2 linked regions of the Saccharomyces cerevisiae S288C genome follow. The gene in region 1 interacts genetically with each later gene. Each region holds a gene or a part of one and is shown in the gene's direction. Other genes may lie near its edges.

Evidence for each region.
Region 2: of SCP1 (region 1) and ROM1, changing one suppresses a phenotype caused by changing the other (phenotypic suppression), as found in Saccharomyces cerevisiae (one study listed by BioGRID).

What each region holds. Positions count from the first base shown.
Region 1 is NC_001147.6:1,024,168-1,027,246, forward strand, and holds SCP1 (Scp1p), read left to right. Parts: upstream 1-1,839; coding exon 1,840-2,442; downstream 2,443-3,079. Other genes in the region: YOR365C (putative flavin adenine dinucleotide transporter), read right to left, coding at 1-1,405; RAD17 (Rad17p), read left to right, coding at 2,676-3,079. UniProt on the Saccharomyces cerevisiae protein: Has actin-binding and actin-bundling activity. Stabilizes actin filaments against disassembly.
Region 2 is NC_001139.9:625,804-631,861, forward strand, and holds ROM1 (Rho family guanine nucleotide exchange factor ROM1), read left to right. Parts: upstream 1-2,002; coding exon 2,003-5,470; downstream 5,471-6,058. Other genes in the region: ART5 (Art5p), read right to left, coding at 1-1,281; ENV11 (Env11p), read right to left, coding at 5,678-6,058. UniProt on the Saccharomyces cerevisiae protein: Stimulates the exchange of RHO1 GDP-bound form into GTP-bound form.

The sequences.
Region 1 (3,079 bases):
AGACTGTAATCAAAATGAAAACAACGATTGCCTCCACTAAGGTAGCTGCTGAGTCTGTTTGAGTGAACTCCCAAAGTGCTAAAAGAGATATCTCAGAATAAATTATGAACACCGCTCGATATAGTGTCCCCTGTAAAAGTGCACTCCAATGTGTGTGGAAGTGTAAATATCTAATTGTCTTAACTTTAAACTTCTGAAGTACTTTCAAAAATGTTTTGAAGATAATAAACGCCAATATTATCATACAAATGAATATGATAAAGAAGGAAAATCCCGTTAAAAAGAAATTTGATATCTCAATTCCAGCTTTGTAAGACACCCTTTTAATACCTCTTAATACTAAAATTTTTGACAGATAGTCATTTGAATTTCTCAAATTTGAAGTGTATAATAAATCATTTTTTTGGGAACTTTCAATACCATTTAAATTACTTGACGCTGATATGATTTTACTGTTCAAGGATCTTTTTTGAACACTGATCGATAAAACTTCTTTATTGCGGTATACAACGGTGGGGGACCCAGATGTTGCGACAACATACCAGTCAAATAACCGCTGCATAAAATTTATCCTTATTATTCCCATTGACCATTGGAAATTTTGAGTCCAAGCGGCGACAATAGGCGGTAAAAATGATACACTAATCATAGCTAAAATAGCCAAATTTTGGAAATATAAAAGTAGCGATATTGAATAAGACGCCAGTCTTGTTGAAGTAACCGTATAACCTTGCAAAGAATAAACCACTGAAAACATAATTCCGGAAATTGTCAATATCACTAGATTCCACGATAAATACTCTGTTTGGACTGTTCTACCATTTGATAACATCACTTGTACACATGCTAGAGGTTTGGTAAATTCTTTATCAATAGTGGAGTATGCTGTCACCACAATATATGCGTCTAAGTCAGGTATATTATATGTTATGCTTGGTATTTGGCTAGCTACCGCGGCCTCAACATAATAACTTCCCATGAGTTCTATATTTCCCGGCTTCAACGGACATAATAAATTATCTTGGATTCCACATAGATCAAAAACTTTGGTATAAACATTGAGACCATATGCAATCAATTCTGCCTTGATGGTTATGTTTTCGCTCATAATTGTTTGTGCTTCAACATTAAAGAATAGAGTATTATTTCTCGGGAAAAAAGCAGCTTCGAAATACGATGCAGAAAACTGTGAGTCTTTAGCACAAGTCAACAGAGCCGAAGTCCTTAGATATTCTTTAGTATATGCATCAAATGGTACTGGGAATAGAGTCGATGCGTTGTTCAGTAGTGTAAAAGAGTTAGAAACCTGGAAAGTAGAGCTGTTAATGGAAATAGCGTGTATTTGTCGGAAGATTGCTAGCAAAACAAAAATCCGAGATAAAGAGAAGACTTTAATGGGAAGCATACTTATTCTCTTTACATCTATAAATCAGAGAGGTTAAATATTATTTAAAATAGCATTACGACTTTGCTTCATCATCCTTCCAAAATATTGACACTGCATCATTTTTTAAATGTGTCAGTAATTCGGGCACAAAAATATAAATGGACCGCCATGAACTAAAGCTGTCGTCGATATGGATCGCTCCATAGCAGCATTATAAAAATTAAAAATGCATCAATACCATGCTACAGTAATAACAAAATACAGCATGGATTACCACTACATATTCATCATGTCATGCATTATAGTTGTAACATATGCTGAACACCCATTCATCACGTGTAATTGGACATCCGTGGAGTTCCAAAAGGAGTATAAACGCAAATAGTAAAGCTAAGATATAAGTAGTGTCTAAGTAAATGACTTCTTTGTAAGCGTACAGCTAAAGTTTACCGATGAGTTACGATAAGAAGGCAGATGTCACATCCTTAGATGAAGATTTGAGACAACTAAGAGAAAGCAAATTTTCACCGGAAGCAATTCAAAATATCAAAATATGGGTATATAAATCTGTCCTAAAAGAGATAGCTCCTCCTGGAGACTTATTGGAATGCTTGAAAGATGGAACAGTCCTATGTAAGCTGGCAAATATTTTATATGAAGCAGACACAGGAGAAGCTAACCATATTAGTTGGAAGAGCTCTAAAATGCCATTTGTTCAAATGGATCAAATTTCCCAATTTTTATCATTTTCGAGAAAATATGGTGTGCCTGAAGATGAACTGTTTCAGACAATTGATCTTTTTGAGAAAAAGGATCCTGCCATTGTTTTCCAAACGTTGAAGTCACTATCTCGTTACGCCAACAAAAAACATACAGATAGATTTCCAGTTCTAGGACCACAACTGTCAACAAAGAAGCCAAGACCCCCGGTTAAGTCTAAACCAAAACATCTACAAGATGGTACTGGATGGAGCACTTTTGAATACGGTTATATGAAAGGTGCATCTCAGGCTACTGAAGGAGTGGTGTTAGGACAACGGAGAGATATAGTTTAGAGAATTATTATTAACACTTTCTCTGGCAGAAATTGATAAATAAACATTTAAGAACCCTATATACGCAACCAAAGTTCCTTTGATATATTTTAGTTTTCCATCAAAGTTTTCCTACATAAACACTAAGGTGGCTAGAGACGCGTAACAAAAGTTAACGTTACCGGTAAAAATGTGATTATACAAATCAATCTCACAGAACGGTGTGGAAACAAAGTAGTTGAAGGATTTCAACTATGCGAATCAACAGTGAGCTAGCGAACAAGTTTTCTGCCTCAACGGTGCACTTAGAACATATCACAACTGCTTTAAGTTGTTTAACACCTTTTGGTTCTAAAGACGATGTGCTTATATTCATTGATGCTGATGGGCTGTCATTTGTCAGGGAGAATAATCATGTGATAAAAATCCAACTACTGTTATCTCGGGAGCTATTTATGTCTTATTCGTATAGAAATGAAACTGAGGATCACATGAAACTTTGTGTAAAAATAAATCATATCTTAGATAGCGTTAGCGTGATGAACAGGAATTCGGATGACATTGTTGAGTGTACTTTATCTTATGATGGACATGGATCACCATTTGTACTAATATTTGAAGACTCGTTCATTTCTGAGAGAGTGGAGTACTCTACCTA
Region 2 (6,058 bases), on another chromosome or scaffold:
AGTTATTTGTTTGAGGTTATCTGGAATTGTAAAGGGACAATCGACGTCAAGTTTGTCCGTCAGCGGGCCGAAGTCCGCTAGATGAGTAATTTTCATGACGGCTATTTCATCATCATAAATTTGTGCGCTGCTGTCCTTCATTGCGTAATATTGGATTAGCGCCATTTCTATCCTATCCAAACGAATGTTCTTTTCGAAGGGGAAAATCTTAATCTTCACGGGGGTTGTGCTACCAATAGGAACAGCCCTACTCGGGATGGACGTTTCGTATTGCAACTTGTCACGCCAAGTATTACCCACGCTAATTTCTTCTTGCATGGCAAGATTGTCCATCGATAATGTACGAAGGATTCTGAGATACTTGAACTTTTTGATGATAATTTTATTCTTCGTTCTCATACCATTGCCGCTCGTACTTGTGCTACCGATTGGACCGTGAGGAGAAGTATGAACGCTCAGATCAGTATCCCATAACTGACGTCCATCTATAATGGCTTCAAAGGAATACAGTATGCTACCACTTTGTAGTCCCTCGATTGTTTCGCACACTTCTGGGGGGAGCATTGTATTGAAGGGTAGTTCGTAGTTGCCTCTTTTCATTAGGAATAAGTACGAACTTCCAGACCCGTCTCTGTTACTATAACTATGGCTATTGTTATTGAGGGTGTTACTACTACTGCTTCTACTACGGGCGTTTTCTCTTAAACCCTCGAAAGGGGTTCCTGTAACACCATTTTCTGGTAGCTCTAGTATTTTTCTGTGGGAAGAATGGGTCTTTCTTCGAATTATTTTGTTGAAAACAGGGCTCGAAAGTGATCTCTTGCTTAGAAATATTGCGTTGCCGCTGGTGTCCATATCTTGGTTGCTTGTACTGCGACCGCTACTACTGTTATGTTGATTTTCCGCATTTTCCCCACCGACTAAAACATCCCCTTTTGAAGAAACCAATAAGTTGTCCCAATAGCATTCGAAAATCTTACGCTTTTCCTTAACTAGACTTGCCAAACTACTGCTATTCTTCTTATATCGGCCAACTTGCAAAAACTCCAATTTGAATCTTCCTACCAATCTCAGCGAAATTTTCTTCACTACGATCTCATTTTTCACTGAAATCACTAAGTTTCCTGATAAAGGTATAGACGACAGTTCCAACGGTGACCCTTGGATCAAAATTATGTCCTTGTACGGGGAGTTTATTCTAATATCAAAATAACTTATTCTCTCTCTTTCCTTCTGCTCTGAATGCCCACCGCTGCTAGATAGCGAACTAAGTGAAAACATGGTCTTGCTTCACCCTATTCTCGCCGAGAGCTGTACAAGATATTTTTTACTTTTGCCATCTTATACTCATCCTAATCATCTGTTTCATTTTCCTTCTATTTCTTTTTTTTTTTTTTTTTTTTTTTTTTTTTTCAGTTTTCGAAGAAACTGCCTTTTTAGAATTGTAAAAGACGAAGTGAAGTATTCAGGAGTATATTATTACATACATACAAAGCAAGACAAAGAAACATTTTTAGATCTAACATTTTACTTCAATTGTTTTTGTATTCCTTATAATAAGAAAGACCTGCTGTTTAATGTGGGAGTAATCCGTCCCCTACTCGATCTTCAATAAATTGTCATCTTGTATCTAAAGGAGCGCTCCAGTACTCCAATTAAGCACCACCTAGTGCGTCTAGTGTCGATTTTTTTTTCACGCATACGTTTGTATGTTTCTTAAATTTCCCATGATTTTTTGTTGCCAATGTCATATCTACAAACTCTATACGAAAGTAAACGCACTTCATCTTTTTTGCCCTAAAACGGCAATATTTAGACATATCATAAGGGGCCCAAGGGAGAATCGTTAATTTTAAACTTTTCTTTGCTCTTGAATGAAAAAGTAAATAAATAAAACTAAATCAAAAAAAAGAACGCCACGTTTGAATTTTAAAGCAAAAATTTTGTTGATTTAGTAATGATATAAATAAAACCAAGTCGTTGGTAAGAATTTGGTTAGGTTATGAATAGTAATGAACTGGATCTAAGAAATAAATATTTTTATGAGATATTCGGTAAGAAAAGAAAATCAGATACTTCAACCCCTACTCAGTTGTTCTCCGGCTCCAAAGTTCAGACAAACATCAATGAAATTTCTATCACTAACGATGAGGATGAAGATAGTACTGAAGATGAAAATAAGGCTTCATTGAAGGATTATACACTAGGGCACGACACCGGTGCACGGTATAGGATAGCACCGGACTGTTCTTCCCACCAATTAAAGGCATCTCCTGTCCTACATATTTCAACAAACCTTAATTCAAGTCCACAATCCTTCACAGGCGATCAGATTTCACCTACTAATAAAAAAATTTCAATAAATGATTCGACCAGACAAGATAAAGGTAACAGTTGCACTACCACTTCATCACCTTCTCAAAAAAGATCGAATGTTTTGCTTCCTCACGTAAGAAAACATTCATCTCCTTCACTATTATCATTTTCCAAAAACAGTGGCAGTCATATGGGGGATCCAAACCAGCTATCTACGCCTCCAACTCCCAAAAGTGCAGGTCACACGATGGAGTTACACAGTTCATTCAATGGAAAACATAGTTCTTCTAGCACCTCTTCTTTATTTGCATTAGAGTCACTGAAAACCCAAAATAGACGCTCATCAAACTCTTCCAATCATTCTAGTCAATATCGACGCCATACTAATCAACACCAACGTCATCATTCAAGGTCCAAATCAAGTCCTGTCTCTCTGACGGAAATATCCATGATCAAAGGCACGCCTTTGGTTTATCCTGCACTTTTATCACTAATAGCAATTAAATTCAAACAGACCATCAAATTGAGCACGCATAAAAAGATGGGGTTACTTTACAGAGATTCCTTTACAGGAAAACAAGCAATTGATACTTTATGCTTGATCATAGGAAGCTTAGATCGTAATTTGGGCATGTTGATCGGAAAATCGCTGGAAGCTCAAAAATTGTTCCATGACGTACTTTATGACCATGGCGTAAGAGATTCTGTACTGGAGATTTACGAGTTATCTTCAGAATCAATTTTTATGGCACATCAGTCGCAGAGTTCTACTTCAATTGCCAACACATTTTCTTCATCATCTTCTTCAGTTAATTCGCTCCGTACTAAAACTGAAATATATGGTGTTTTTGTCCCATTGACACATTGTTATTCCTCTACATGCTCTCTGGAAAAACTTTGCTACTCTATTTCTTGCCCCAATCGTTTGCAACAACAGGCTAATTTACATTTAAAATTAGGTGGTGGTCTTAAGAGAAATATTTCGTTAGCACTCGATAAGGAGGATGATGAACGAATTTCCTGGACAAATTCTGTACCAAAGAGCGTATGGGAATCATTATCCAAACAACAAATCAAAAGGCAGGAGGCAATATATGAGTTGTTTACTACAGAAAAGAAGTTTGTAAAATCTTTGGAAATCATCCGAGATACTTTCATGAAGAAATTATTAGAAACGAATATTATTCCATCTGATGTAAGGATAAATTTTGTAAAGCACGTTTTCGCACATATCAATGAAATATATTCTGTCAATAGAGAATTTTTGAAGGCTTTAGCACAAAGGCAATCATTAAGCCCAATTTGTCCTGGAATTGCAGATATATTTTTGCAGTATCTTCCTTTCTTTGATCCTTTTCTGTCATACATAGCATCAAGACCATACGCAAAGTATCTAATTGAAACCCAAAGATCAGTTAATCCCAATTTTGCTCGTTTTGACGATGAAGTGTCTAATTCTTCCCTGAGGCATGGGATCGATTCATTCCTATCTCAGGGTGTTTCAAGACCTGGTAGATATTCACTGTTGGTAAGAGAAATAATACACTTCTCGGACCCAGTAACAGACAAAGATGATCTACAAATGCTAATGAAAGTCCAAGATCTTTTAAAGGATCTAATGAAAAGGATTGATAGAGCAAGCGGTGCAGCACAAGATCGTTATGACGTTAAAGTGTTAAAGCAGAAAATTCTATTCAAAAATGAATACGTTAATCTGGGTTTGAATAACGAAAAAAGGAAAATCAAGCATGAAGGTTTACTCTCAAGGAAGGACGTGAACAAAACAGATGCGTCCTTTTCAGGAGACATTCAATTTTACCTACTCGACAATATGCTATTATTCTTGAAATCAAAAGCTGTAAACAAGTGGCACCAACACACTGTATTTCAGAGACCAATTCCACTCCCTTTACTGTTTATTTGTCCGGCTGAGGATATGCCACCCATAAAAAGATATGTGACAGAAAACCCAAATTGCTCAGCGGGTGTGCTCTTACCCCAATATCAAACGAGCAATCCCAAGAATGCTATTGTATTCGCCTATTACGGTACGAAACAACAATATCAAGTTACTTTGTACGCGCCGCAGCCGGCCGGATTACAGACATTAATAGAAAAGGTGAAACAAGAGCAAAAAAGGCTCCTTGATGAAACTAAACATATTACTTTTAAGCAAATGGTAGGTCAATTCTTTCACTCATACATAAATACTAATCGCGTCAACGATGTCCTAATCTGTCATGCTGGTAAAATTTTATTGGTTGCAACAAATATGGGACTCTTTGTTCTTAATTATGCTACATCGATCAATCAAAAACCAGTGCACCTTCTGCACAAAATATCAATTTCACAGATCTCTGTATTGGAAGAATATAAAGTTATGATTCTTCTAATTGACAAAAAACTGTACGGCTGTCCTTTAGACGTAATCGACGATGCAGAAAATGCAGATTTTCTTTTCAGAAAAAATTCTAAAGTGTTATTTAAATATGTTGCAATGTTCAAAGACGGTTTCTGTAATGGTAAAAGAATCATTATGATTGCACATCATTTTTTGCACGCCGTACAATTATTGATTGTTAATCCTTTGATATTTGATTTTAATAGCGGTAATTTTAAAAAAAACCTAAAGGCAGGCTTGGTAGATTTTAGCGTTGATTCTGAACCTCTGTCCTTTTCTTTTTTGGAGAATAAGATCTGCATTGGTTGTAAAAAAAATATCAAAATATTAAACGTACCGGAAGTGTGTGATAAAAATGGATTTAAAATGAGGGAGCTTTTAAATCTACATGATAACAAAGTTTTAGCGAACATGTATAAAGAGACGTTCAAAGTAGTTTCCATGTTTCCGATAAAAAATTCAACTTTTGCATGTTTTCCAGAACTCTGCTTTTTTCTCAATAAGCAAGGGAAGAGGGAGGAGACAAAGGGATGTTTTCATTGGGAGGGGGAACCAGAACAGTTCGCGTGTTCCTACCCTTATATTGTGGCAATTAATAGTAACTTTATTGAAATTAGACATATAGAAAATGGAGAACTTGTCCGCTGTGTACTTGGAAACAAGATACGTATGTTAAAATCATATGCCAAGAAGATCTTATATTGTTATGAGGATCCTCAAGGATTTGAAATTATCGAACTGTTAAATTTTTGAGTTGACCGCCCATATTAATACCTTAAAACTTATTTCTTGAACCTATACATCTAAATTTAAGTAATATTATTTTATTTGTATAACCATATGTAGTTTACCTGAAATATATGGGTGCCATTAAGAAAATATAATACAATGGACAAGAATTTTGTCCTAGAAAATAAAGTCTTGAAAGTATATTGTCCTTTCCTTTGGAATATTATGTCACTAGCAAGCATCGAAAATTGATCCAGAGTGAAAATTAATTTTTTCGAGATTAAACTGTGAATTCAAAAGTTTGATTTTAATTGTTTCCTCACTCAACTTGGTACTGAAGTCTTGATTAGCTGTTAGAGAAGATAATTCTGACCGTATTGAAGATGTCGAATTTACTGAAAGCAACTGAAGTAAAATATCGATTACTTCAATCTTGTTTTTACTGCTTATGTAATTATTCCAAATTGAATCCGAGATAGGAATATGAATATCAAATGTCTCTTCCATGGGATTTAGGCACCATTCCCCCGAGTTAGAGTCGTTTTCCTCAGATAACTCATGTTTTGTAAAGTGAGATCCATCGAAGCTAATATCATTATCATTTAAGTAGTC